2 linked regions of the Lepisosteus oculatus genome follow. The protein of the gene in region 2 purifies or fractionates together with the protein of the main gene of each other region. This does not show direct contact. Links are inferred from orthologs where the notes say so. Each region holds a gene or a part of one and is shown on either strand. Other genes may lie near its edges.

What was found.
Region 1: the proteins of lamtor4 (region 2) and slc38a9 purify together in Homo sapiens (affinity purification with mass spectrometry; 4 studies listed by BioGRID and IntAct, with this or other methods). This does not show direct contact. The link is inferred for Lepisosteus oculatus from reciprocal best matches to the Homo sapiens genes LAMTOR4 and SLC38A9.

The regions. Positions count from the first base shown.
Region 1 is NC_090698.1:26,532,231-26,545,678, reverse strand, and holds the start of slc38a9 (neutral amino acid transporter 9), read right to left. Parts: upstream 5,000-13,448; 5' UTR 4,913-4,999; intron 1,092-4,912; 5' UTR 1,035-1,091; intron 346-1,034; 5' UTR 286-345; coding exon 182-285; intron 1-181. Other genes in the region: probable ATP-dependent RNA helicase DDX4, read left to right, coding at 9,098-9,121, 11,129-11,168, 12,889-12,948.
Region 2 is NC_090702.1:13,158,008-13,170,416, forward strand, and holds lamtor4 (ragulator complex protein LAMTOR4), read right to left. Parts: upstream 4,889-12,409; 5' UTR 4,784-4,888; coding exon 4,781-4,783; intron 3,537-4,780; coding exon 3,456-3,536; intron 2,544-3,455; coding exon 2,426-2,543; intron 2,036-2,425; coding exon 1,938-2,035; 3' UTR 769-1,937; downstream 1-768. Other genes in the region: protein tyrosine phosphatase domain-containing protein 1, read left to right, coding at 8,929-9,107, 9,617-9,697, 10,241-10,359, 10,944-11,081, 11,944-12,409. UniProt on the Homo sapiens protein: As part of the Ragulator complex it is involved in amino acid sensing and activation of mTORC1, a signaling complex promoting cell growth in response to growth factors, energy levels, and amino acids.

The sequences.
Region 1 (13,448 bases), on a different chromosome or scaffold from region 2:
CAGTCGCCAGTTGTGAGTTGCAGAGTGATATGGCTGCCGGCGATAAATGATAATGATGTAAGTCAGGGAATCTCCTTTCCTCCAAAGTGGCGATTCTAATCTGTATGGGTAAGCAGCTAAAAAGTATCCGGCAATTATATATATATATTCGGTATATCTTCATATTCCACATTTACAGTACCTTTTAGACCTTGTGTCATGTGCATCCAAGTTGTTGTGATCTGCCTCCACGTGGTTCTCTCCAGCCCTCTCTGGGGCAAGCAGTGGCTTCACATCATCTTCCATTACTGTCGACGCTTAAAGAGCAGCACTGTTGCTACGCGTCATTACCTAGACAAAACAAAACTACAAAGAGTCACACTGTTGATCAGACCATAATCAACAGATGAACAGGAAAAGGCTACCATATACAGCTATATAGGAGCAATAAGAGTCTTTGCACTTAGTTGAGTACTTTGCATATTAACTCAAGGTTTTGACTCCAGACTTGATAAATATTATCTGTAAGTGTCAATCAAATATTATCTATACATTTTGTTTAATTCGTAATCCAAGCATCTATGATAACATATGAAATGAAGATTAAGGGGAGACTTGGTATTCCCATCATACAAACTTCCTACAGTAACAGTTTATGGAGAGAAGGAATTAGTAAGCCATTTACAAGAACAATCCAGGAATCTTTGACTCAGATCTCATAAAACACAATTTAAACAAGTCAGCTGAAATAAACTATTATTGGCACCATTCACTAGCTAGCAAAACTAAAAGGTCAACTAATTTTTTTAGTAACCAAGACATTCAAAAGCTGCTTATAGAAATGAATACAGAAACTGTTAAGTGCAAAAAAAACATTAAAAACAGAGAATTAAAAATAGTGGCAACTGTAATTGTAAGAGCTCAGAATGCAATGTCGTACACATTTAACAGAGCATTGAATGAATTAAAAGCCTGGTTTTCAGGCATCCAAAACTAGGAAAATAATATTTTGTGTAAGTTCGTGCAATAGGGTGCAAAATTGATTATATACATACCAGAAAGGTTCCGTACTTGAATTTGTCTGCTGGACAAGAAGGTACCACCGACCTCTCCTTTGGGGACGGAGAGGATAAAATTAACTCCATAAAGTGTTGCATTAGAAACTGCATAAGTAGATTAAAATGCTTGAAACCAGAAAAGGCTGGTCTTTCCACGAAAACTTGCAAATTAAATTTCTCGCAAAGATCTCCATAACTCTGAAATTACACACCCTTACAAAGGGTATATTTATTTAGCCTAATATATTTTTCTTATATGTCGACTTTCATTGCACCTCAGGATCAGAGCATAACCTTAGACTTTCAAGACCAGCAAAATCGAAGAATGAGATCAGGTGGGTCTTACGATATGGTCTAATTTGCAATGTTTAGAGACACAAACCAGCAGCACATTTCCTGTGTAATCTAAAATGTGCAGTATGATGCCCACAAAAGGAGAAGTAGAAATGATGTAGACAATGACAGGACTGAAAGAACACAGGCTACAAAAAATAAGCTGATCGTGCATTATCTTCAGTCTCACAACAGCTGAATCTTACATTTGAGGAAGCCAAGCCCCAAATAAGATTGTAGAGCAGAGGTCAGCAGTCTCGGTCCTGGAGATCCCCAGTCTAGACTTTACAAATCATGAACACCTGTAAGTTATTGATCAGGGCCAGCTCTTATATATAGTTGAACTAGATGGTCACCTACACCCCCATGTTAAATGGTGCGCCCCATTTGAGGAGACAATTAATTAAAAAAAAATCTATTTAAAAATGTCAAAAATTGCAAACAATATGCACTGCTACCCATGTTGTTGCAAAAGAGTAGGGACATTGTCTTTCAGGTTTCTAAATGTGAGTATGTTTAAGCATTAAACCTTAGCTACATTAGGGTGTATAATAAACTTTTCTACTTGTCCTACATGTAAGAAATAAGGGGCAAAATATGCTTGTGTCATTTAACTGTCAGTACATATTTGTTAATATTGTTATGGCTTAAGAGGTTGTAAAATTAAAAAACAATAGGAAGAAACGGAGTTGTTTACCTAGCTGTGGGTGGGCTGTAAAAGACAGAGGATCAAAATAAATCTACTCTGGTTAATTAAAATTGAAGAATACACATTTAACACACAGACAGACATCATAAGAAGGCAGGAAAGAAAGGTCAGGGAACAGTGATGAAGAGAGAGACAGGGAATTAACAGAAGGAAACAGAAGCACTAGGTGAGTGGAATTTGGTCTTGGGTCTTGTGAAGGGTTTTTAGAACAGGTAGATTGAGTCTCTTTGACTTTTGGACTTCCAGGATTATAGGAAAAACTGAGTTGAACTGAGTTGGTTTCTGTGAATATAGAACACCAGGCCTGATTTTTGGCCTGATTGGGCATTATACACTGTCTGATTTCAGGTTACAGGGATTCTGGGTTTCTGGGTCTGTAGAGCTTATGCTTGTTTTGGAAACTTTTATATTGGATGTAAGGCAATTTGTTGTTTAGCTATTGTTATAATAAATAACTTCAACTGAAGCCTGTCCGCTATGAACTAGAAAACTTGTCCGATGCCCTAATTGAAATTTCTGATGATACCATCTGTACTTGAACTATGCGGCAACATTGCCCGTTCAAATGCAAAAGTTCTTGTAATGGCCTTCCGATTTGTTTTTTACGACTAATTTTCATGGGTCTATACATTATTTTAAAACTAACCGGTTTAAGTAACTAGAAGGGAGTCTCTCACTGGAAAATGGAAGTTTGCAAAACCTATGGTTAAAACAAAATATTTTATTTTGTAAATACACACTTTTCATATTTAGATTTGGTGATAATAGCCATTAAAGCGCACAGATGATTTTAGATTGGTAAATAAAAAACTCTTTATTCGAATTAGGACTAAAACATGATCCACCTGTTGTGTACAAATCTCCTGCAAACAGCAGGTCTTCAGGGAGGTTTCAATCAGTGTGTTTGTACATGAACAAGCCAAGAAATACAGGAAGCGGCATAATGGGAAGGTGAATTAGATGCCTCTGCTCCAAGTTCAATTTTCAAAAATGAGGAACTCAGCATCTCTTCATTGAAATAAGGCAGGATTTTACATGATTATCTCTTCTAAAATATCATTACATAAAAATGATATTTAAAAATAAAAATTCTGAAATATCATTACATGTCACCAATGGCCACTTATAGTATTCAGTATTGACTCAGCTGTTTTAGTTATTCATTAAATATTTATAAATGAATCCACTACTACAAACCTTCTGTAGAACAACCTAGCTTATTAGAAAGGAGATTCCATTTCTTCCTAAGAAAAGTGATTAAATGTATGCAACTTCTGTACCACAAGGCACAGATAAGCATTTCAAATTCTCATTTTTGGTGTTGACCTGTTTTTTCACATAACAGATGTCATGATACATACATATATTTACACATTTAAATCCAAAGAGACCAGGGTAATTTTAAAAGTCGCATATTAGAATATATTTAACCCTAAGAGAACAGGTTGTGTTTGACATGCCAATGTACCCAAATCGAAATCCCTAGTGCTGATACAACAAATCCTATTCTATTTGAAATTCTATTCTAGTATGAAATAAATTCTCTTCAGCCTATGAGAGGCATTTTTTTCATTTTCTCTGTAGGATGTTTTTTTTGTGGGAGCTGACATGCCTTACATAACTGCGGGTTTTACTGCTATTTTTAATCCATTCAATTTGACAAGTATGCAGATATTTTCATTTTCTGTTACACAGGGAACTGTGGAAAGTCAACAATTGATAAAGGAAGCTACAAGGCAGCTTTCAGTCTTTCAGTAGTTAAAACGCCAACTAGCTGTAATCAATACATATAGCACAGGGTTCTAGAGAGGGATCACAGGGCCATGGTTAGGAGTTACACAGAACACAAACAACTAGAGAATTATACGTACTGGCTAAGTATACCGTCGTGATAATAACTGTAACGGAGGCACCTCTTCATAAAACCTCGAAATAAATATCTGTGCACTTTCCTGCAATAGAATAGACTGTAAGGAATTACGGCAGCTCTCATCGTTGACTATTCACACTACCCTGATGTGGAATAATTGATGGGGAAAAAAACAAGTAATTCCCGTCTGAGCTGCCGGATTTGTTTTGACCGCAACCTTGATAAAAACATTAATATCGTGTAGTTAAAACAATTTGTTCAGTTTGTAAGGGCAGCAACAGCTGCTCGTCCTTTCCAAGAAACGACAAGGGTGCCAGAATTCACAGGGGCTTTTTAAAAATTCCAGAACGGGAGAGATGTTCAGAGTCTTATTCTTGGCTTTGCTTTGCAATTGCTCTGCTTCGAAAATTACGTATAAATATCCATTTCAGAATGCCGCGTATCCTAAGTTATCATATACCGAGCCACAAATACAAGAATACTACCTAATACAAGAGTAAAAAGAAGCATAACCCCTCACATTTCAACGTTTGATGCTTTCTATACAGAGCGATATATATATATATCGGGATTACAAATCGGACATCCTTAAATTGAACTGTATGCAGCACATAAAATGAAATTCATGGAATACACATTTCACAATATAGGTAAACCACATCCATTTCACACATTTTATCTGAAAACGTTAGCTTTAACTAGCTCGTACGTTTATCGAGGTGCTATAAAGTAAAATACGTCTACACCTTTTCCTAAATTGTACTCAACTGACTCGTTTTAAAAACAATATAACTATTATGACCAGTACCGTAAAGTTAACCGAGAAATCAATTACTGGGTGAACAACTAATTTAAACTGTTAATACCAATATAATCCTTATGATTGCAAACTAGAAACCATAAAACAGCCCTGCTCTTTTATAAGAGCTATTAATCAACTTTAAAAAACCCGTTTAAACTTACATTAAAAACCAAAGACACCAGACACCAAACACCAACCCCCGGACCTCACGGTTCGAGCAGCGTTTTAAAAACAGGAAACAATGCGAACGTGCATTGCACATGCTTAGCTGTCGCAATGCCTTATAGGGTCTGTAGTGTTTTAGAAGGGACAGGTATTGGGCATACTCTCAACTCAACTACACTACCCAGAATGCCTACAGTTCAGTCAGCTGAGTTTGATACCTGGCTGTGTAGACAGTCCAAGAGATGAGAAAGAATTCGTGAGTCTCACCTGACTGAAGAGAAATGTGATTATTTCGTGCACAATAATGTATTCACATCTATGTTTAATTCAGAATATAAATGATTTAGTTTTTACTGTTTTTAAATGAAGAGGGGTATTGTCATTGTCATGTTTGTCATTGTTCGTTTTTATGTTTATATATGTCCTATGTATGTTTGGGACCTGAAAAAGGCAAAACGCTGTCTCTTTTTCTTTTCATTTCAGCATGGAATAAACCTTTACCTGTTCCTATGTTTGTCATGATTCTTAGGCCATAAAGCTTTCCTAAAAGAACACGACCAAATAACAAGAACATATCCTAAACAGGGCACAGCTTGCACTACCCAAACAATACAGAACCTAATAAGAAAATAATTCAAACGGTATAGTATAAAGACAAACATGTACAACATCTGAATGCTTAATAAAAGCAAAATGTACATGAATATTGAAGCTGCCTTGGGCTCATAAGATGGTCGACATGATAGGATCTTATGTAAATGATAACAAGGCAATTGTTGTTTGAGACATTTGCAAGAAGCATTGAGCGCTCAGTAGCACACATAATACACAACAGAATTAAAAGCAAAGTGAAATAAACAAGTAAAAAGGTCAGATTTAGCAGGTAAAGTATAAAGTTATGTGCTAGACTATATTCAAGCAGAAAGTGCTTTAAATAATCAAGAGCTAAAGCACTTAATGCCTTATACGTGAGCAGAAGAAATTTAGGGTACAGTTTAAAATGTACAATGCACTGATAAGCTCTCGTAGAATAGTGTGAGCTGAGAGCTTTGGATCATACTGAATTGTTTATCAATAATAATAATTGCTTACGCTTATATAGCACTTTTTTGGACACTCCACTCAAAAGCACTTTACAGGTTATGGGGACTCCCCGTCACCACCAATGTGCAGCCCCACCAGGATGATACAACAGCAGCCATAGTGCACCAGTACACTCACCACACATCAGCTATCATTAAGGAGGAGATCAGAGTGATGAACCCAATTCATAGACAGGGATTAATAGGAGGCCATGAATGGCAATATGGCTGCACAGACAGTTCACTGATATTGTTGAAGCTGATATATTGACTCCTTTTAGGAAAGAGCTGGCTGAGAGCTTTGGATCAATTAACTACTGAAAGAAAAAGAGCTAGAGGAGTTGGGCATAACAGCCTTATGTTCTAATACAAAGAAGGACAAACATGAAGCCCGTGTGTATGCAGATCTTAACAGAGCACCAGAACATCCAGAACTAGAACCAGTTATTAAACCTTTCCCAATAAGCCAGAAATGAGTTTTCCCTTTTTCTTGCCAATGTGTAGGTCTCTGGAGGATACTCCAAATCATGTTTTCCAAATTCTGGTCTTGGATGCCCACGTACCTGTGAGATTGTGACCTATTATTGACCTAATAGTGAGATTCTATTTAAAAGTGAAAAATCTTAAATTAGTTATGAAACACAAGTTAAAAGGTAACCTCCAAAATGCTTGCTTAGCTTCACAAGTCTTGGTTTCTAAAATACCCTTAATTTCATGTGTCAACTTTTACATGATTACCTTTAAGCAGCGTCTCCCCAACTTGTTTTCAGAGTTTGCTTCTTAACCGCTCTTAATAGGTGTAATAGGTGAACAGACACAGGTGGGACTGACAAAGTATCACACATTCCCACCCTGAATGCTTTTTGAACCTCACGAACCTCCGGAGATTCCAGTTGATTACGTTTCAGTTAACACGACGGAATCAGTGCGGTTCTGAGCCTCAGTAAGTGGTATACGGTTGTAACCCATTTCGTACCTCAGTTAACCTTTAAGGGCCTCTTAGCATAAAAATGTATCAAAACGCCCATCAGCTGTAAAAAGGAACAAAGAACCGATGAAGAATCGGGAGCAAGGTGCAGATAGACGCGCTGACTTCAAGAAATTGACTCGTGTGTCGTGACGTCACGGTGCCGAGCGGGGAGAAGGACGCGCGCGATCCTGCCCACGTGTTTCGTTCCAGCTGATAACCGGGCTCGGAGCTGAAACGCGGCTTCTTTCGAGACCGAGTGGAAGCGGGACTGGGGGACATTGGCGCGGAGCTATTTGCTTTGAAGTCAATCTCTTTCGTTAAAATAACGACGTAAATAAAATCAGTAATCCGTAAGTAATGTGCAACCGAGTATGTAGTTCCGTTTTCTTTAAATCGTACCTTTCCGCATGGTGAATGTTTTAGTGTAGTTGTATGTCTTTGTACTTTTTCCGTTTCCCTTCTATGTTGGCGTCAGGTGTAATTCTTGTCATTTTAAAATATTGAATTGCCCTTTCGTCTTTATTACAAGCACTTTGAGGCCGATATATATATATATACGCGCTATGCAAAATGGTGAATGGGTTTTATTTGCAAATGATTAACTGTTCCAACGCTTTGTCGTTTTTTCTTAAATACACAACTTAAATGGTGATTTTAGTATTGCAGTTGAGTTTGCTCGCAAGTCGGGCCTGCTCAGCCTTGGCTTTTTTGGCGCCTCGTTTGGGAGGAAACGTTTTCCCGGGAGTTTCTACGACACCCTTAGGTTAGATGTTATTTGGTGTGTGAAGTATTTTGCGAAGCGATTTCAGACTAATTCTGAATTAAAGGAGCTATAGTTAAATTGTGTAGTTAGGCTTGATGTATTAGATTTGGTTTTCCCCGCCTTTCTAAGGGTTTTGCTGATTGGAAGCAGGTGTGTGTTCTCGTATAACGAGAATATTTGAAGCGACTTAAAAAAAAAACCGACCAACGTATCCCAGTAAGAAGAGATGCACTGAGATGTTGAATGATAATTTAATTTGCCCCAAGCGAGCAGCGGAAAGGAAAATCATCCCGCCTTCCCTCCAATTGATCGAAAGCCTGCTGTACGTTCGCACCTTCGGTGATGGCCATGCTTGTGTTAATTGCTCGTTAAGTAAATTAAAACGATAGAAGACAAAAGGCGCCGCGTCTGGAGCTTAATTTTGACTCGGTGCGAAGACACTTTTGCAGTACTTACTCCTCAAGTAGTAGCCCAGATACAATCAGGAGAGGGTGCTGAGAGAATTGCAGGTGAACAGATGCACCATGAGCACTGTTTCCCGTTGGACTGAGGATGAAACTTTTGAGGATCCCTGATTCAAAACCAATTTCCTGAACTCCTCTGTTTCACCTCGACTCTGCACCGTGATGGCCGTCTTCGTTCCTTTTGCGTTCTTATTTTATCCGTAAAAATAAACGATCTTATATGGCGCCTTTAAAAGTAGCTTCTCGAAACAACGAGAGGGGATATGAATCTGATGTTTTGCTTTGGCAGAGCTGTGTGAGCCGGTTCTCTTGCAATCTTCCAAAAACATGTAATGCGCGATTGTCCTCATTCTCGGCAGTCGGTTTCATTCCTGTCTTTCAATCGGGGCGATCTCGAGGCTCTTTGCATGCATTGTACACAACAAAAATGTGTAGAAGTCGGAAAAAGAAATTCCAAAAAGTGCATCAATTATGAAAGTAAAAGAATTGTTAGGTGTCGAAGGCCATCGAGAGCAAGTCAGCCTTCAGGCGAGATTTAAAAATATCAGTGTGAGGGTGTGTTTTTGATCTGGTCGGGAATTGTGCCCCAAAGATGGGGAGGGGGTGGGTGGGCTACTGCTGAAAAGGTTCAGTCCCCCCTAACGAATGATGTGAAGGTCTAATAATACTAGTATTTATGGATTTTATTTATTTGGTTTATGAAGCACCTTTCCAAAACTCAAGGTTGCTGTACATGGTGATAGAACGAAGAGGAGGAGCTTAAAAGCCAGCCAAAGAGCTCGTACATGTGTAATACACGAGTGTTTGATTTTCCTGAATGTGAATGATTGCTTTAAGTGGATGTTATCTATTGCAATGTAAAGGTGTTTTGATTTCTTTTCTAGCACTTACCCTGAGAAAACATGGAAGACTGGGAGGACAACGTGGTAAGTGATCTTAATGACAGAATCAGAATCGTATGTTGCATAGACAAGAAATTCAGATCTGGTGACTTGGTGCGAAAACATAAAATAAAAACAATATACGCAGAGGTCCACAGGTGTGTGTGTGTATATATATATAAGGTGGGTAGCTGCGTCAGCATGCGTAGGCTGCAAAGGAACAAGTAATAGGTTTATTCCATGCTGAAAAAAAGAAGAAAGAGAACACAACGTTTCGGCCGTGGAGCCTTCTTCAGGTGTGTAGGGCTTCACACCTGAAGAAGGCTCCACGGCCGAAACGTTGTGTTCTCTTTCTTCTTTTTTTCAGCATGGAATAAACCTATTACTTGTTCCTATATATATATATAATATGTGCACAGGTAGTGTCTGCCTGAGGTACGTTTTTTTAAACGGATGGTGTCCTGGATGAGAGGAGTCAAACTCCACTCTTTTGAGTCTGTTGACCTGGAGGTTGTTGACACAGACATTCACTTCCCTTTTGTTCACGTTTTAGTCTCCTTTACTGATAAGAGCCACCGGGGAGTGTCACCTGCAGACTTGAGTCTGATGGAGGTACAGTCGTTGGTATACAGGGAGTCAAGTAATGAGGAGAGCAGCAGTGCACCTCAAGGCTCACAGATGAGCAGTCTGATAAATAAGAGCCTATCCACACATTACCTTTTTATTTGTGAAGGAGGTGATCCACTGGCAGGTGGGGAGGGAAACATTCAACATTCAGGTGGGACAGTTTATTGTGGAGGAGTGCTGGGATGAGGGTGTTGAATGCACAGCTCAGATCAACAAAAAGGAGTAGCGTACTCCTGAAGTTTCCAGATGTTGCAGGATATAGTGGAAGCGAATATTAACAGCATCACGCACTGACTTAGTGTCTCTGTAGACAAGTTGTGGGTCAAGATATGAAGCTGGTTGTTTTGATTGTATCGGAGTATCAAGAGCTCAAAAGGTTTTCATTATGACCGATGGAAGTGAAACTGATCTGTAGTCATTAAAACAGGTTATTCTGTCCTTCTTCTGAACTGCGGTGATGATAGAGGATTTGAAGCAGGCAGGGAACCTGCACTGGTCCGAGGACACACAGCAGGAAAAGCCGAGCAGCACAGTGCTTCAAAGTAGCTGAGAAACCAAATCGGCACCAGCAGTTCCTGCATTTACGTGTGCAAGGAGCTTAAGGCTTCATGTTCTTCAAAAATCAGGGGAAAGACATAAATTGAAGATAGTTCCTGGATGTTTCGGGGAGAGGGATTAGGAGAGTGAAGGAGTCGGGTGTTAGAGATTAAAGGAGATAACTGGTTGCATGACCCATTGTTGGAAAGTTTTACTTATCAAATCTGCTGTAAAATGTGGTTCAGATTGTAAGGTAGAGACTACATTGTATATTGATTTACATGTAGTTAAAATTTTAAATGCTTTCAAGAGTGCAAAAACATACTTTTTCTCTTTTAAACAGTTTTCTAGTACCATTGTGCTTTAAACTAATATTTTTGCTGCAGTTTTGGGTTTTGAGTATGAACCTTCAAATGCCGTTCTTTCATAACTTTAACCTTTCAGGTGGAAATCTTGGAATAATTAAGGCAAACCCCATGTATAATCTAGGCTGAGGATCAGCCTTGGTTTTTTGGAATTTATTTTGGGGTGCACAATACATTGGGGTGTATAATAAGTTTTCCATTTTCAAAACTTTAACTTGGCTTCGGCAGAAGACCCATTAGATATAAAGGCCTCCTTATATCAAGGGCTAAAAAAGATTCAATCACTGAAATTAAATTGAGTGATTTGAAGCAGCTTTAGGTTTGATTTAAAAATTTAATTTGACAGTTGTCATTTAAATGCAAGAACTTTCCATCTTAAAAACCAGGGACAGCTACCTAAAGGTATCAGAAAGTTGACTTAATTCAATTTAAGGTGTTAAGTGTTTTGTCCAGCTGTAAACTGTAATAAATAATAGTAATGAATAGTATGAAAGGTTGCTTATGATCTGCTGTCTCTTTGCAGGACCCCATGCCCCAGAGTGCTTACAATGCATTGACAAATGGTAGGTAACTGCAGACAATCAATGAAGGAAATTGTACAGGAAAGTGACTGGTGTTCCTGCTGTTAAACAACTACCAAAAAGTATAAATTAGTAACTTGGGAGATTTGCAGCAATAAAAGCCTGAAATTCACAACCCACTGAAGCTCAGCAGGTGTGAGCCTGGTCAATACCTGGATGGGAAACCTCCTGGGAAAACTAAGGTTACTGCTAGAAGAGGTGTTAGTGGGGCCAGTAGGGGGCACTCACCCTGCTTGTGTGGGTCCTAATGCCCCAGTATAGTGATGGGGCATTAGGCACTATACTGTGAAAAGGCGCTGGATGAGATGTAAAACTGAGGTCCTGACTCTCTGTGGTCATTAAAAATCCCGGGGAGTAGGGGTGTAACCCTGGCATCCTGGCCAAGTTTCCCTCTGGCCTTGACCAGTCATGGTCTCCTAATAATAATTCCTGTCTCTGAATTGGTTTAGTCACCCTGTTCGTCTCCACACTAATAGCTGATGTGTGGTGACCGTTCTGGTGCATTATGGCTGCCATCGCATCATCCAGGTGGATTACCCGTAAAGCGCTTTGAGTGGAGTGTCCAGAAAAGAGCGTATATACGTGTAAGGAATGATTTAGACTAATTTGAGTTTGAGATCGTGAATGGATTTCACTGAAGTGGAAAACAAAGTACATGTGAGACGTTCAAAATTTGTCCCTTTGCAGGTTTGACGTCTGCATCTTTAGAACCCCTTAACTCAGTTTTGTACAGCCTACGTTGCTTGCTAACTTTCATTCTGTGATCAATGTACATGGGCCATGTCCCTTTCCCAAAGAATGGATTTTACATTGGGAGTTGAAAAGTAGTTTTTAAGCAGAATTTCTAATAGGACATGTTTGTCAATATCCCCCATTGTCTTTCAGCTATGTCCAAACCTCCTTAAGGTTTAACAGTTTGCTTGCTGTGAAATATTCAAATACCAAATAAATGCTGTTGTCTTGAGCAGTTGTATACATTTTTCTTAAAACTATTTAGATTTAATTTTTAGTTAAACTTTTTATTGCAGTCCTTGTTATTTACAATTAATTCTCTTTTGATAGTGGCAGAACACTACCCCCTAGTGTCCTTTTTCCCATACCACAAGTTAATTGCTGAACTATCTGAAGTGTAAATGTTAAGTCGTTATATTCATAAGGTGATTTCACAATCGCTAAATACAGTGGGAAAGTTTCTGGTTACATTTTCTGTACTCTAGAGATTTTTGTTAAGTAGTGATTTCTGTTTCTGTGGGAAACGTAATCCAAATTGGAAGTCCTGTTCAGACATCAAGAAAATTACTGTTACCAAGTCCTGTATCCTCTAGTATTTGTAGAGCCCCACTTGTGCCTTTATTTAAGCTTAGTTTTCCATACTTTTTAGTGTTTTTCAAAAAGCCTTCCAAGGGGTTTTCATGAGTTTCAGTTTTAGAATGGTTTAAACATTGACTGGACACATACCTTATTAAAAAAAATGTATGAAGATCCGTTATCAAAGGCTTGTGTTCTGTACAAGAATGAAGAACTTTCCTCAAGTGTCAAAGTAGAGCTTTATGCCGAGTTGTTTTCTGTTACTGTGTTTGGTCTTTTTCCCTTTTTTGGGGGGGGGTGGAATCCCAGATTCGGTTAGTAAAAAGTGGGCAAAACAGCCTGTTTTTATTGTGGAGTTGTCTCATGTTGACAGTTTTTGTTTTCTATTTTGCAGGTAATGAAACAAAGACCTGGAATAGCCTCTATTCAGATAGGCCTTCTTACAGTCAAAATGGTAAGTTTTTTAAAAGAAACTATTCACTCTAGAGACCTGCCCACAGAAGAACAAGCAGGCCATTTTTTTCCTCCTGGTTTGTGTTATGGAAGCATGTTTTGATCCAAGAACAGATGCTGTGCCAGTTGCTGTTCTAAAATTTCAGAAGTGCAATAAAAGGGCAAATTAATTTTCATGAATTTGAGTGTTTGACCTCGAGCCTGTGTGCAGCTTTAAACTGTCTGTGTGGGGGGTGATGTAAGAGTGGATGCCTTCGTAGAAAAGGAAATCACTTTGTGTCAATTGTTTAGTATTAATAGGTAATTAAACCCTTAATATGTAGTTCTGTCAACAACTGCAGCATAGGAGAAAACACCTATTAAGTTGTCTTTTCTTATCATTTGGTTGATTTACTTACATCCAGCTCCTGAATCTTTAATCTTTATTTACAAACGTTCATAGCTTGCCACAGTCCTCTTAAAGCAACACTTCCCCCGATTGTTTGATACCATCAGGTCAAA
Region 2 (12,409 bases):
GTTGCTGGCTTCAAACCAAGCATAAAATGTGTTGAGCTCGTTAGGCAGGGAGGCATAATGGGCAGATGCACAGATATTGATAGAAAATGGATGGATTTAAACAATGCTTTTAGCTTTATAGCAGGGTTTTTATACTCAATTCCTAGTTTTATACTGCTTTGTTCCAGCCATGTCTTCAATTGGTCTAATTATGTAATACAGTTCTGAAGTTATTAATTTTAACCAGGCTCTATGATGATTTATAGGTACCTGTGCCTTTAATGAAGTGAATGTCTTGTGCAATCAACTGTAAAATACCTTAAGAAAAATCTTTACCTATACATGCTTAATTCTTTTCTAAATTAGGTTGTTTAGTGGACTATACAGATTGGAACAATAAACAGAAGATCTGGGTTTGAGACCCATTTTATTGTGTTCTTGACCTCTGTTCCCAAGAGCCACCGCCCAGCACATATTGGTCTCTTGAAATCACTGGCTGGTTTAGAGGTGAGATAATTACATCGGTTTAGTTCATTGAATTACTAATCAAATTAGTATGTATGAAAGCTAAAAGACCCTCTGGCGCTCAAACAACTGGAATTTATGTTTGAGACATTACATTTTGGCCTGATTCTTGGCATGCTTGCCTGTTGTGTGCTTGTTTCGAAACTATTATTAGCTTTTCCATTTCCCCTGGCACTCTGCTGTCATTATTAATCCAATGTTTAAGAAACCCTGGTACTGGAGATGACTTTAGTTTGTAAATAACTTTGTGCAAAATGCTTCTAGTGCCATTATCTGAATTCATTTTATTTGAACAACACTTGCTTTCCACACAAAACAAAACATACAATCCGTGAAAGGGCTGCACACACTATTATTTTGGTGAATATATTACACAAAGACAAAAGCTGAAAGAGCAATGTCTTTATTCTTTAGTTATGCTGAAGATCAAACCTTAACAGACAAATAATATACTCAATTACAAAGTTAAACTACAATAATAAATAATTCTGCTAAAGTGATTCTGCCCACAGAGGACTTATCACAAAAAGAGAATGAGAACATGATTTATATCATTGGTCCTGTATGTCTCTTCAGCATTTGGTTGGGGTAAACAGACAGAACCTCTTCCAAACTATCCTCACAGAATTTTGGTAAAACTAGCTCCTTAATTTTAAAACCTAGTTCAATAATTAAGCAGACAGTTAAACAGCTGACTGTGCAAAAGCGGTACAGCTTTTTAAATTGTAAGGTCCAGTACTTGTGACTTTTCTTTGGGATTCATTATCCGAGTATTCAGGACTAAACCTGAATGTTTTGACCTACGTATTTACTCAACTGGTCAAAATATACACTGCTAATCTTCCACCCTTTATAATATAGGGATACACAAAAACCCACAAGGATGGGAGCTGTTGAGAAAAAGAGATGTCTCCAATGGTTATGGGATGAACAGATAATATTAAAAATGCAGGATATTTCTTGAGGGAAAAAAGCACAAACTGGAACAAAGTATAAAGCTTTACTGCTTATATAATGGGTTGCAGCACGGTTACTTAACAGCATGGGATTAGTTAAGATACACACAGCACATTCTGTGCAGGTCACAAATAGGTGATGGAGCAAATGAGACTTACTAATATTTCCTTTAACCATTTCACAGCAGGCATTATTAAGCTAACATTATTGCCCACGCCCAGAAATCAATTTATTGCTGACACTGCTGAATTCATTACGAGACCAAAAGGTGATATCAAAAGCTTCAACAGACTGCTGTACTGTGACACAGGAGCATGTGGAAACCCCCCCCTTCCAGGTCTCCGATCCTCTTTCACAAGAGTGGATATGCCTGTGCCACAAAATCCCCCAGTTCTGTTTGGCTCCCGGTGTGCCTCATTCCACTACTGCTTGGAGAAAAGGCATCTCTGGGCAGCGTCGGGTCCACCCTCACACCTCTAGACGTTAACTGGCTCTCGCTGGTTGTTCTGCCGTTTCACCACAAAGACCTTCTGCCCAGACACGGTCACCATGAAGACATGATCCTCAAACACCACTAGATAAAGACAGGAGAGGAGAAAAGGTAAAAACAAGACAAGACATATCTACAATTCCTAAACACATATCCCCACCTGCTGTTTGTATCAACAAACTTCACTGTGTGGGATTCCTAAACCTCTGGTAACCCTGTGTACTGTTCTATCCATTAGCATTACTATCAAATCTGCTGTACTGTTTTCTGGGAGAAATGATAGGCAGGATCGTTTCTTAATGCCTTTTAATTGGCAAATACTTGCGGGAGGGAAAAAAAATTCTAACATTCGAGGCAAAGCCGCCCAGCTCAATGAAAAAGACGAGTGAGTGTAACGCCAAACCTGACACAAGCTGAAATGGATGCTCAGTGTTTACCAGCACCGGTTAAGAGGTAGAGCACGTCTAAACTGACCTGACATGCGCTTGAAGGGGGGCTCTGTGCTGCCCTGCAGCTTAAACTTGCAGGCTGTCTGCACCATCTGCATGATCACCCCCGCCGCATGCTCGTCGTTCTCCATCTCACCGGCAGACTAGGGGGGAGAAAGTCTTAATTAGCCATACGGTGCTTGTAGGAGGTTACTGAAGGAGACAAACCAACCTGTGGCAGCTTTGCCCCACACTAGTGGAGGAAGTGGGCAAAAGGAATGCCAAGCTCAACCAGACAACACAACGATGTATGTTTAGGTCCCAGTGCACTAGCAGTAACAACACCCAAGATATTAAGGATTATGGAGTGTTCAGTCAGAATTTGGTTTAACCGGTCTGGCTGAGGGCTGACCTCTTATCCATAGGAAGAGGAGGCTGGGACCCCACACAGAGCGAGGAGTGACCAAGGGGCAGCTGCAGAGGTGGAGACGAGGTGGAGGTGGGATGCAAAAGATATAAGCAAGATCACATACAGTATTTAAGGTAAGATAAGATCACTTTATTATACATATACAATTTCTTGCATTATTAAATTGTGTATTCTTGTATATTTGCATAATCCAGCTTGCTCTCCATGAGACACACAGACAGGGAGAGAAGCTTGGGGTCAGCCATTGTATAGTGCCCCTGGAGCAGTTGGGGTTAAGGGCCTTGCTCAGGGGCCGAATAGAGTAGGATTCCTCTGCCGGCTACAGAATTTGAACCAGCAACCCTCTGGGCACAAGCTCAGATCCTTAGCTACAGTGCCACCACTCCGCCCCTTACAGTGTTTCAGGAGAGTAAGTGATGTCAGAGAGTAAGAGAGTAAGTCTGATTGACCTCAGTTGTCGTCATCCCTCCAGAATTGTTGTTATAAACTCAATTCAATTCTGGGCTTCTCCAGAAACTATTGGAATGATTATTATGATGAAGGAGACCCTCCTTTGTCTCCATAGCTCACTCCTTCCTGCACCTCCTGTCCTTCCTGTCTAAATCCCAGCCACCTTCTTTATTGTAAAAGTATGGTGTTTACTCACAGCAAGGACTCCATCTTCACTGATGACCAGGTAGCCCAGCTGGTCTGGGATTCTCTCCAGCCCTTGAGTCAAAGCTGTTGTCTGAAACACAGCAGAGACATCTTTCCTGTCAGTATTGTGATAACAGGGAAAAGGAGAACTTGACCCTTCAATGTTAATACAGGAGGCTGTCCTTGCCATAACAAAAATAGTCTTGTAACAACTTCTTTTCACATTTTTACAAAGCATTACGTTCTTAGTAGAATACCACGGACACTGTGGGGGACAGTTCAATTAAATCTATCTGGAGCTCAACATAAATCTCATTCCCTGTCGAAAACAAAAATGGTTTCCTAGAAACGTCTTTACCGTGTACCACAAGTTAGGGAAAACTACCTACAAAATAAAACCGTTTTTGATTAAACGTTACTCTACGAACGACATTTAGTCACATTATGTCCCGCAGAGGGAGAGGGCATTACCACGTGACTCTTTCAAAATAAAAAAGACCCACGTTCGGGAAGATATTTAACATTGTTGTTACGAAAATTTTCTTAACTTCCTTCATTTTCTTAAATTTTAAAGTTAAATCTATGCAGACATAATGGTTTGGGAAACTTGAATCCTGTTGTAAAGCTTACGAATCACACCTGTTACTTTACAGGCAAGAAGCTTACTTGCTATGACCAGATGCACTTACACAAAAAAACTACGATTTTAATAATTTCCTAGGTTAAATATGTTGTTCTTTAACTATGTGCATGTGATGGCGTCCCGCCCATCTTCTTGGACTCCTGAAAACTCAATGGCATTAACTACCGGGGAAAAAAAGAGGGTAGTTACTTTAAAGGCGTAGGAATCAAAGTAGGTTACAAAGCCTTCGGGAGGAAAGTAGTGTGTAGCCCTAACGCAATGTATCTATAAACACAAAAATATCTCAGAAGTGAATATTTCGTTTTTTTAAAAATACTATCCTTAAGAAAATACTTTACAAAAGATTAAGGGTCTGATAATTCTGGTGCACGATCCTTAACCAATTCATTCTGTCTTCAGCTAAACAGGCCTATGATCATGAGATAACAGCCCCCAAAGTTAAAGCACGTACTTTCGTTTAACCAGACCAGAGTGGATACTAATTGTCATATATAATCGCATTTGCAATAAAGACTATGTTTATCTTCTTCGGACAGTATTTTTAATAAAAGTCTGATATTTCATTACTTCTTATTATATATTTGGTATCATGTTCGTTTGTTATCAGCACAAAATAGTACAGAAACGCAAAATATTTATATTATTTTGAGTATTCATCCGTATTACTTTTCTTGTTTTAAAGGAATACTCACCATGTTCAATCAAAAGAAAAACATTCACAGCTCGACTCCGCTGTGATAATGATCATATGATCTTGTCACGTGTCGTCTGACTCGAAAAACGGTACTTCCTGAATTTGTAATGTTCATTGGACAACTTTGCTGTCAATCCACATTGAGCATTGAGACGCAGGTCTTATTTTTTATTGGTCAATTCTACGGCCAGTCCTCTCAATGCGGCCATTAAACTTAACCGTATAACTCCACGAAAATGAGCAATAGAAATACCCGTGTTCAAGAGTGCCGCTGTTCCGACCTCTCCAAATTTATAATGCACTTTTTCCAGAAATGCACAGTTTTAGTCTGTATTCAATCAGACTTTGGCTACAGTGTGAACAGAACTGGCTTTACAACTTGCGCATCTTATAACTGTCCATCAGGCTGGTCTTACTGATTCGAAGATACAGGATCATGCAGTAAATTACGTCAATAAAGATGAACGTCTTGTTTTCAGTTCTTAAAAATCAAACATCTTGTTCTGAAAGAGTTCTGGTTGAATGTAACTGGTCTCAACTCCAAAAAGTTGAGACTAATATCGAAGCATTTAGAAACATGAGTTGGTGGGTTAATACTACTGGCACAACCTCTAATGCTAATAATATCAAGGAAAGCCTTAAACTGGATTGCGGTATCCTGAACGAGAGATTATCCTGGCGCACTGATGCCTTTCAATTTTAAAATCTGAGAGAACACCCTGTGCTAACGGAAATGAAATATTCCAATTAGTGTTCATTATTTTATTTTTCCTCACAGCTATTCCCTTACTCTCTCTCGCCCCAAGGCCCTTCTGGACAATTCCAGATCACTCAGAAGACATCTTGTACCTCCAGCAACCTTATTTACTGCATCTCTTGCAGAAAATGCCCAGCTATCTACATTGGGGAAACAGGAAGGAGACTGGGAGACCGCTTCAGGGAACATGTCAGGGCTGTGAAGATCAAAGATATCTCCAAGAACATAGTTTCTCATTTTACTTCTCACGGCTGTGATCGTCACGGTCTCTCCATCTGCGTTCTCAAAGAAGGGTTTCGGAACTCCTATTGCAGGAAGACATCCAAAATCAAAATTATCCTGAATCTAGCATCATACGTTCCTCCTTCTCTCAGTTACAGACTCGTTTCCTTCTATTCCTCTCTATTCAGTTGCAGGTTTTGACTTCACGCCTCTCTTCACCTCTCTTGATTTCACACCACCTGGGTGTCCACTCCCGCCTCCTGTCCACTCTGGGCTTATGTTTTCCGATCCGTTCATTGTTTGCGTCACTCTTTACTCATCCCCACTGAGTGTCCATTATTATTATTATTATTATTATTATTATTATTATTATTATTATTATTAATGAACCATACACTTAATAAAACTCCTTTTGGGAAATCCAGTCCAATAGTTAGAATTTTAAGAATTTTATTTAAAGCCTCTCACTTAAACCATATAGCTAATTTTTAATACAATCTGTGATATTAACCAGCACGTATTTACCTTTATGTGTGCTGCTTTACAGTACTACTAAATCTCTGCTGACCTCCAGTGGACACAAAGCGCACATTTTTTTTCATTATTTGTACTGTTTATTTTTATTGCTTTAATAAAAAATCACAAAGCAGTAAAGTGCATAGATTGCAGTAGATTACAGAGACGTCCTGGGACCATACTTGGAACTGATACTGAAGCACAAGTACAATTACTTCATAAAGTACAGTAGCAGGATTGAGTACAAATATGAGTAGAGATTAAGAATTTTATGTTTTAGTATTGAAATGATGTCTTTCAAACAACTTTATACATAACATTAAATAACATTATAACAGATACATATTTTAGTGTACACTTAATATAAATGCACTTCATCTCATCATCTTCACTGCTACACATCAGAACACAAAACATTTTGTCATCACATTGACAGTCTATGCACCATTAAATGTATTACATTTCGAGACTCACATTTATTAGTACTAATAATACAACACTGTAAAATAATTTTATCTTTAATACATATCGCAATCCAAAATGACCTGAATCATATCCTATTGCATCTCACAATGTCTTAAAAGTCATGTCTTTTATATGAGGTTAAAGACATTTTCCATCTTTACTGCAGTAAGGTAGAAAGAAGACTGCACCACTCCAGAGTTTAGAGGCAAGCAGTTCTGTTGCTGTGTTGCCTATACTGTAAAGTGGGTCACTGTGATGTTGGGTTCAGGGCTATGGGACACATTTAAAGGCTATGGCTGGTGAACCTTATGCTGAAGTTTTCTGTAGGCTCACATACTGTAGATGTTCAGAGATGAATTCAGCCTTACCAATCAAACATTCCTTGACAGCTATAGTACTGTATATGCTGATCGGTTTGGCATGCATACTGTAGGTGATTCAGTGTATCGGCCAAATGGGTCAAGCCTTTTCACTCAGTGTTTGAACTTTGCAGATATCTTGTATTCAGAATGTTTTTCTTCATGGACATGGACATCATGGACATCTCCTGTCCAGACACTGCTGTTGTGTCCATGAGCAAGATACTTCCATTAAATTACTCTAGTATACGTACTGCTGTATAAATGAGTGCTCAAGACATCGCTGCAAATAAGTATTTGTTCTCATTTCCCTTACCTGTAAGAATAAAAGATTAAATATATCATATCTGGGGTGCTATCTACATGGGGAACACCTCTCTGTGTTTGTGTGGGTTTCCTTGAAGAGTCCTAAGATGAACCTGTAGGTTAATTCATTCCTGGGAAACTTGGTCCTGGAGTGAGTGTGTGCGTGTCTGTGTCTGTTTTTGTCGGCCCTGTGATGCTCTGGTGTCCTGTCCAAGATCTATCCTGCCCGCGCCCTTTTTATTGCCAGGATAGGCTCTGGCTCCCCTCCGACCCTGAACTGAAAGAAGGGATTAGGAAATGGATGGATGTTGACAGGAGCTACCATATTTACAACCCTCTCCGTGCTCAACAATGGGTACTGTTGTTATCTTCATACCTCACTGTACTGTGTGCATCAATGTAATCAGTCATGTACTAAAACAGTCCAGGTTATGAATGCAAGTGGGAATTGTATCATTATGTACGTGCTCATAGATTCCTCATATACAAAGGCGAAATATTATATATTAAGCAGCAAGCATAACATCACACTAATTATGCATGTATGTTTTTAATAAAAATAAAACATGGATTTCTGAAATTTGATTAATTGATCATTCATGACTATAATGCTGATGACTTTGTTGCATCAGCAGAGAAAGTTGAGTGGTGACAGGTGATGAAATTATTTATCCTATTGAATGTCAAGCCTGAAAACCAAGAAAAACACAGGAAGGAATTAATATGGTCCTGTTTATCAAGAGTGTCAATAATTCGGCACTGATTTCCTAAATAAAATATTTGTTGCACACTGTCTGGCAATTTAAGATAAGATAAGATAAGTCTTTGTTGATCCCGAAGGACAATTTGTCTAATTTAGAGTGTTTCTGAACTTTTCAGTCATGGCTCAGTTTAGAATAAAGGTGTGTTTGGTCTGGAGCCCAGTTATATAACAAAGAATATTACAAGCCCCGGTCCTCTGTGTCTTAATGTGTTTATGGAATTAATAACAGGGATTAGTGGATGTAGGTCAGAATAAGCAACCACAAAGGCAGTGAGAGAAGCAGCCCTATGTACATTTCTAGCTCTAATACACTAGAGCCTATTGGGGATTTGAACAGATTTGATTTTTATGTTGCTTTAATTATTTCAAAATGTGACGCAATAATGGTAAGTGATGCAATTTTTATATCATTTTAACAGTCATAAAGATTGTCAATATTCACTTTAGTGTGAAGATTCATGATCTTGTCTGCACTAGAAACAAGACTTTAAAGACATCAATTAATATTTTAACATAATTTAATGTAATACTTTTGCTTAGAATCTTTTTTCTAAGATGGTCTTTATGTATTTCAGGATTTATACACTTTATTGTCACAACTCTGCTGCTTAATGTTGCTGTTTGCTGTCCTGGGCATATACCTAATTCTACATTTCTTTAATATGTTCATTACCAGACGAACTTTTCGGTTGGCTGCACTCCGCCTTAATTGCTGTTCAGACAAAGCCTGTCCATTCACATCCGCCTGCACACCAGGAATGGCCCTGTGTATTCCTGGGCCCCGGCCCTCCTATTCCCAGGCCCGAGAGAACCTTGTCAAAACCATGCCCCCAAATCTTATCTGCGCTCTGACCTGCAGAGGAAAAGATTGTCGTTATGAGGGACCAGCAACCTGGACGTTGAGACAGCAGGCCATACGGGGTGTCTTTTCCACATGGTAGAATTCAATATGCTTATTTTCCTTCTTTATGATCAGTATCCACCTGATTTGTAATAATTAACTGGCCTTTCACTGTAGAAACGTTTGTGTAGTTATAATGGTAAACAGTGCTTTGCAGTTTTGTTGAGTTCATCGTAAATGTAGACAACTGTGTTAGTGACGCCAAACTTGTGCCCTGCTGAGTACTATGCATATAAATCAATAGGGGAGAATCACATTTCATTGATTTGCTTCCTCATTAAAGTCTCTGAGGAACAGCAAGATGTTCAAGGCACATGCCTGAGTGAGTAATTTCAGCTGTACAGTGCTTTTCTCTATTATTTTAAGAAACAGCTGGCATTACTTATTTCAGTACAGCTATCATCCTTTTACGATGGAAAAATAAATATTGATTTTGCATGTTACTATTTGTATAACCTTGGAACACTGAAATAAGCATTACAAAATGATCTAAAAAGACCTCTGTTGTATAGTAGTCATGGAATGTGGTTTCTGTTTGCCTTTAGGGTGACAGATGATATTCTAGCCATGGCAAGACCTTCTACGGCTCTAATTAAGAAGTATTACATTATAGATCAATTCCACAAGTAAGTTATCATAATATTGAAGAATTTTAATTTGCCTTGTTAAGCATGTCGCTGAATATTGTGCGAAGTTTCTTTTTTTACATTAGCTCATCAAGCTTTCTTCAAACTAGTTTTAAAAAAACAGATAACACAGGTAGCAGACTGTCACATTTAATTTTGGATGTGTAACAAATACACCCCTGCATATTACAGGGATCTCAGCCAGCCAGGTTGAGGGAGGTCTCCTTTAGCTCAGCTGGCAAGTTCCCTGTTGTGTGACGCTGGATCCGGGTTCGCGCCTAGGCAGTGAGGGATGATCTGGCAGGGCAGGAGCAGCAAGGGTGGAAAAGCAGAGAACTGTTACAGATGCAATGAGAACCCAGAGTCTGAGCATACGTTGTTTATAATGAAGAAAACGAAGGCCATCTTTAAGTGGCTGTTGATTTAGGTTAAAATTGTTGATTTACTGTGCTTAACCTTTATTGTAGCAGCTATGAAATCCCTGAATGGTTTTTCCAGTCTCTGGCATTAAATCTGCTCTTTTGGTATTGCTATTCCCATTAGGTTGAACATAAAATCCATCATCAATATGCAGGTGGCAGGGGAGCATGCTCACTGTGGATCACCATTGGAACGAGAGAGTGGCTTCTCTTATTTACCCCAAGTCTTCATGGATAATGGAAGTAAGTCAATTCAGTTTCGGATGGCTTGAAAGAAGTGGATAGGCAAGTTGATCTAAAAGAAAAACACCTTGAATTTATGTTCTGCAATTTTTGTAATGTTTTTGTCAAGCAAGTTAATCAAAATTTACAAACCATCAGGGTTAATAAATATATGTCTAATTTAGAAATACTTATTTTTCTTTCATGCTCACTGTGAATTTTTGTATGTGTTCAGAATGTTCCATACATTAGGATATGTCTTAAGATACAAGTACAATGAATATGAAGCTTTATTTATTATAACATATTTATTCTGACAAGTCTATAATAGAAAATAGTGGGGTATTTGTTATTAAGGAAATAGTTTGACTGTCTTTTTGGTACAGTAACTATGCTATAGAATAAGTAATTAAATTGCCAGTTTTCAGTTTTGGGTTCTTTTGCATGCAATCCAGGTTACAATTTTGCATGCAGGCACATGCATTTTAAACAAGTTTTAAACAAATTCTGTGGCAATAAGAGATATGCCCAAAAATGACAAGCTGTCAAGAGGATATGCAGCACGTTTAGTGAAAAAGTTTCACTTCTTTTGTTTCTCTCCCAAGTCTATTTCTTTAACTTCGGTATGCCAGATTTCGGCGTATCCTCCCTGATTCGAATACTGGATGGTGTGAAAGTGCTGGCATTTGCTGTGAAGGAGGGCAAGGTTGCTGTACATTGCCATGCAGGACTGGGAAGAACAGGTGAAGTTTTCAGTTGTTAAAAGAAATGATGGTTTATAATCAACAGTCCAGACAGAAAATCTCAAGGGAGTGTTTCGTTAAATGATCATGGATTGATAGTTTCAGAATGAACAGTGAATCAGGAACCATAGGGCACAAATGGGAACTAAGTAGAACCTAATTTAAAAACAAGAACAGGAGGAACGTCTTTAGCCAAAGGTCTGTGGGAGTATGAAACAAGCTACACTGCCATTTTGTTGGGGCTGATACCCTGGATTCTTTCAAGAAATGGCTGGATGAGATCATTGATCATTGGATAATTTAACTACTAGCTTCCAAACAGGCTACATGGGCTGAATATTATGGAACAAGTTCTTATGGTTAAACTCCAAAGAGCTTGTATTTTTCTGCTGTGTTCTATCACACGTTTGCTCCCAGAAAGGTGTAGTAGGTAGCGTTAGCTGTTGAGAGAATGTGATGCCAGGTGTCAATCTTGGAACTAAAGAACCCTGAAAAAGTGTTGCAAAGTTGGGATGAGGCAGGTAATGTAGTGGGTTAGTTTGGCTTAAGCAGTCTGTTGATGGTGGAGAACAGGTCTCTAAGATTGTTGTGGATATTCTCCATGATAAGGGAGAAGTAGCTGGATCTAGCAGGCTCTGCTGAATCCTTGTATTTGGTCAAGTGCTCCTTCCAAGATGGAAGATGTACATTCAAGCTAGAAAGACGCCACCTATGTTCTAGTGTGCAGGAGACTGCCTTGATTGAGCATAACTGGTCAGTAGACCATGGGGCACATGAGTGTAGTGTATAGGTCACAACTAATGTACATTGGGGGAGTGGTATCCCAGTTTCATGAATTCTATGTTATGCACGTTTTCCACAGGAGTCCTCGTTGCCTGCTACTTAATTTACATCACACGTGTGAGTCCAAGTGAGGCCATCCATTATGTCCGTATCAAACGGCCCTGCTCCATACAGACCAGAGCGCAGATTAACCTGGTCTTTGACTTTGCTCGTTTCCTTGCTCCTCACCTCGTCCTGTACGCCAGCGTTAGCACCAGACACAACAGTTTCACCCTCCAGCAGTATCTGAACAGGCAGAAAAACCTGCTCCATGGTTATGAGGCCCGGAATTTGAAACACGTGCCTAAAATCGTGGACTTCATCTGCAGGAGACTGACACTAATAGCTTTAAACAAAGCCGATGGCAGCAGCCTGCACGCTGAGGTGGAAAGAGAAGCCACTGTGTTTGACCTAACTGTGCTTGTAAGAGAGACGCTTATCAAGCAGAAGTTTCCATGCGACGCTGTCACACCAGTGCTGTTGGATCCTGATAATGCGTTAAACCC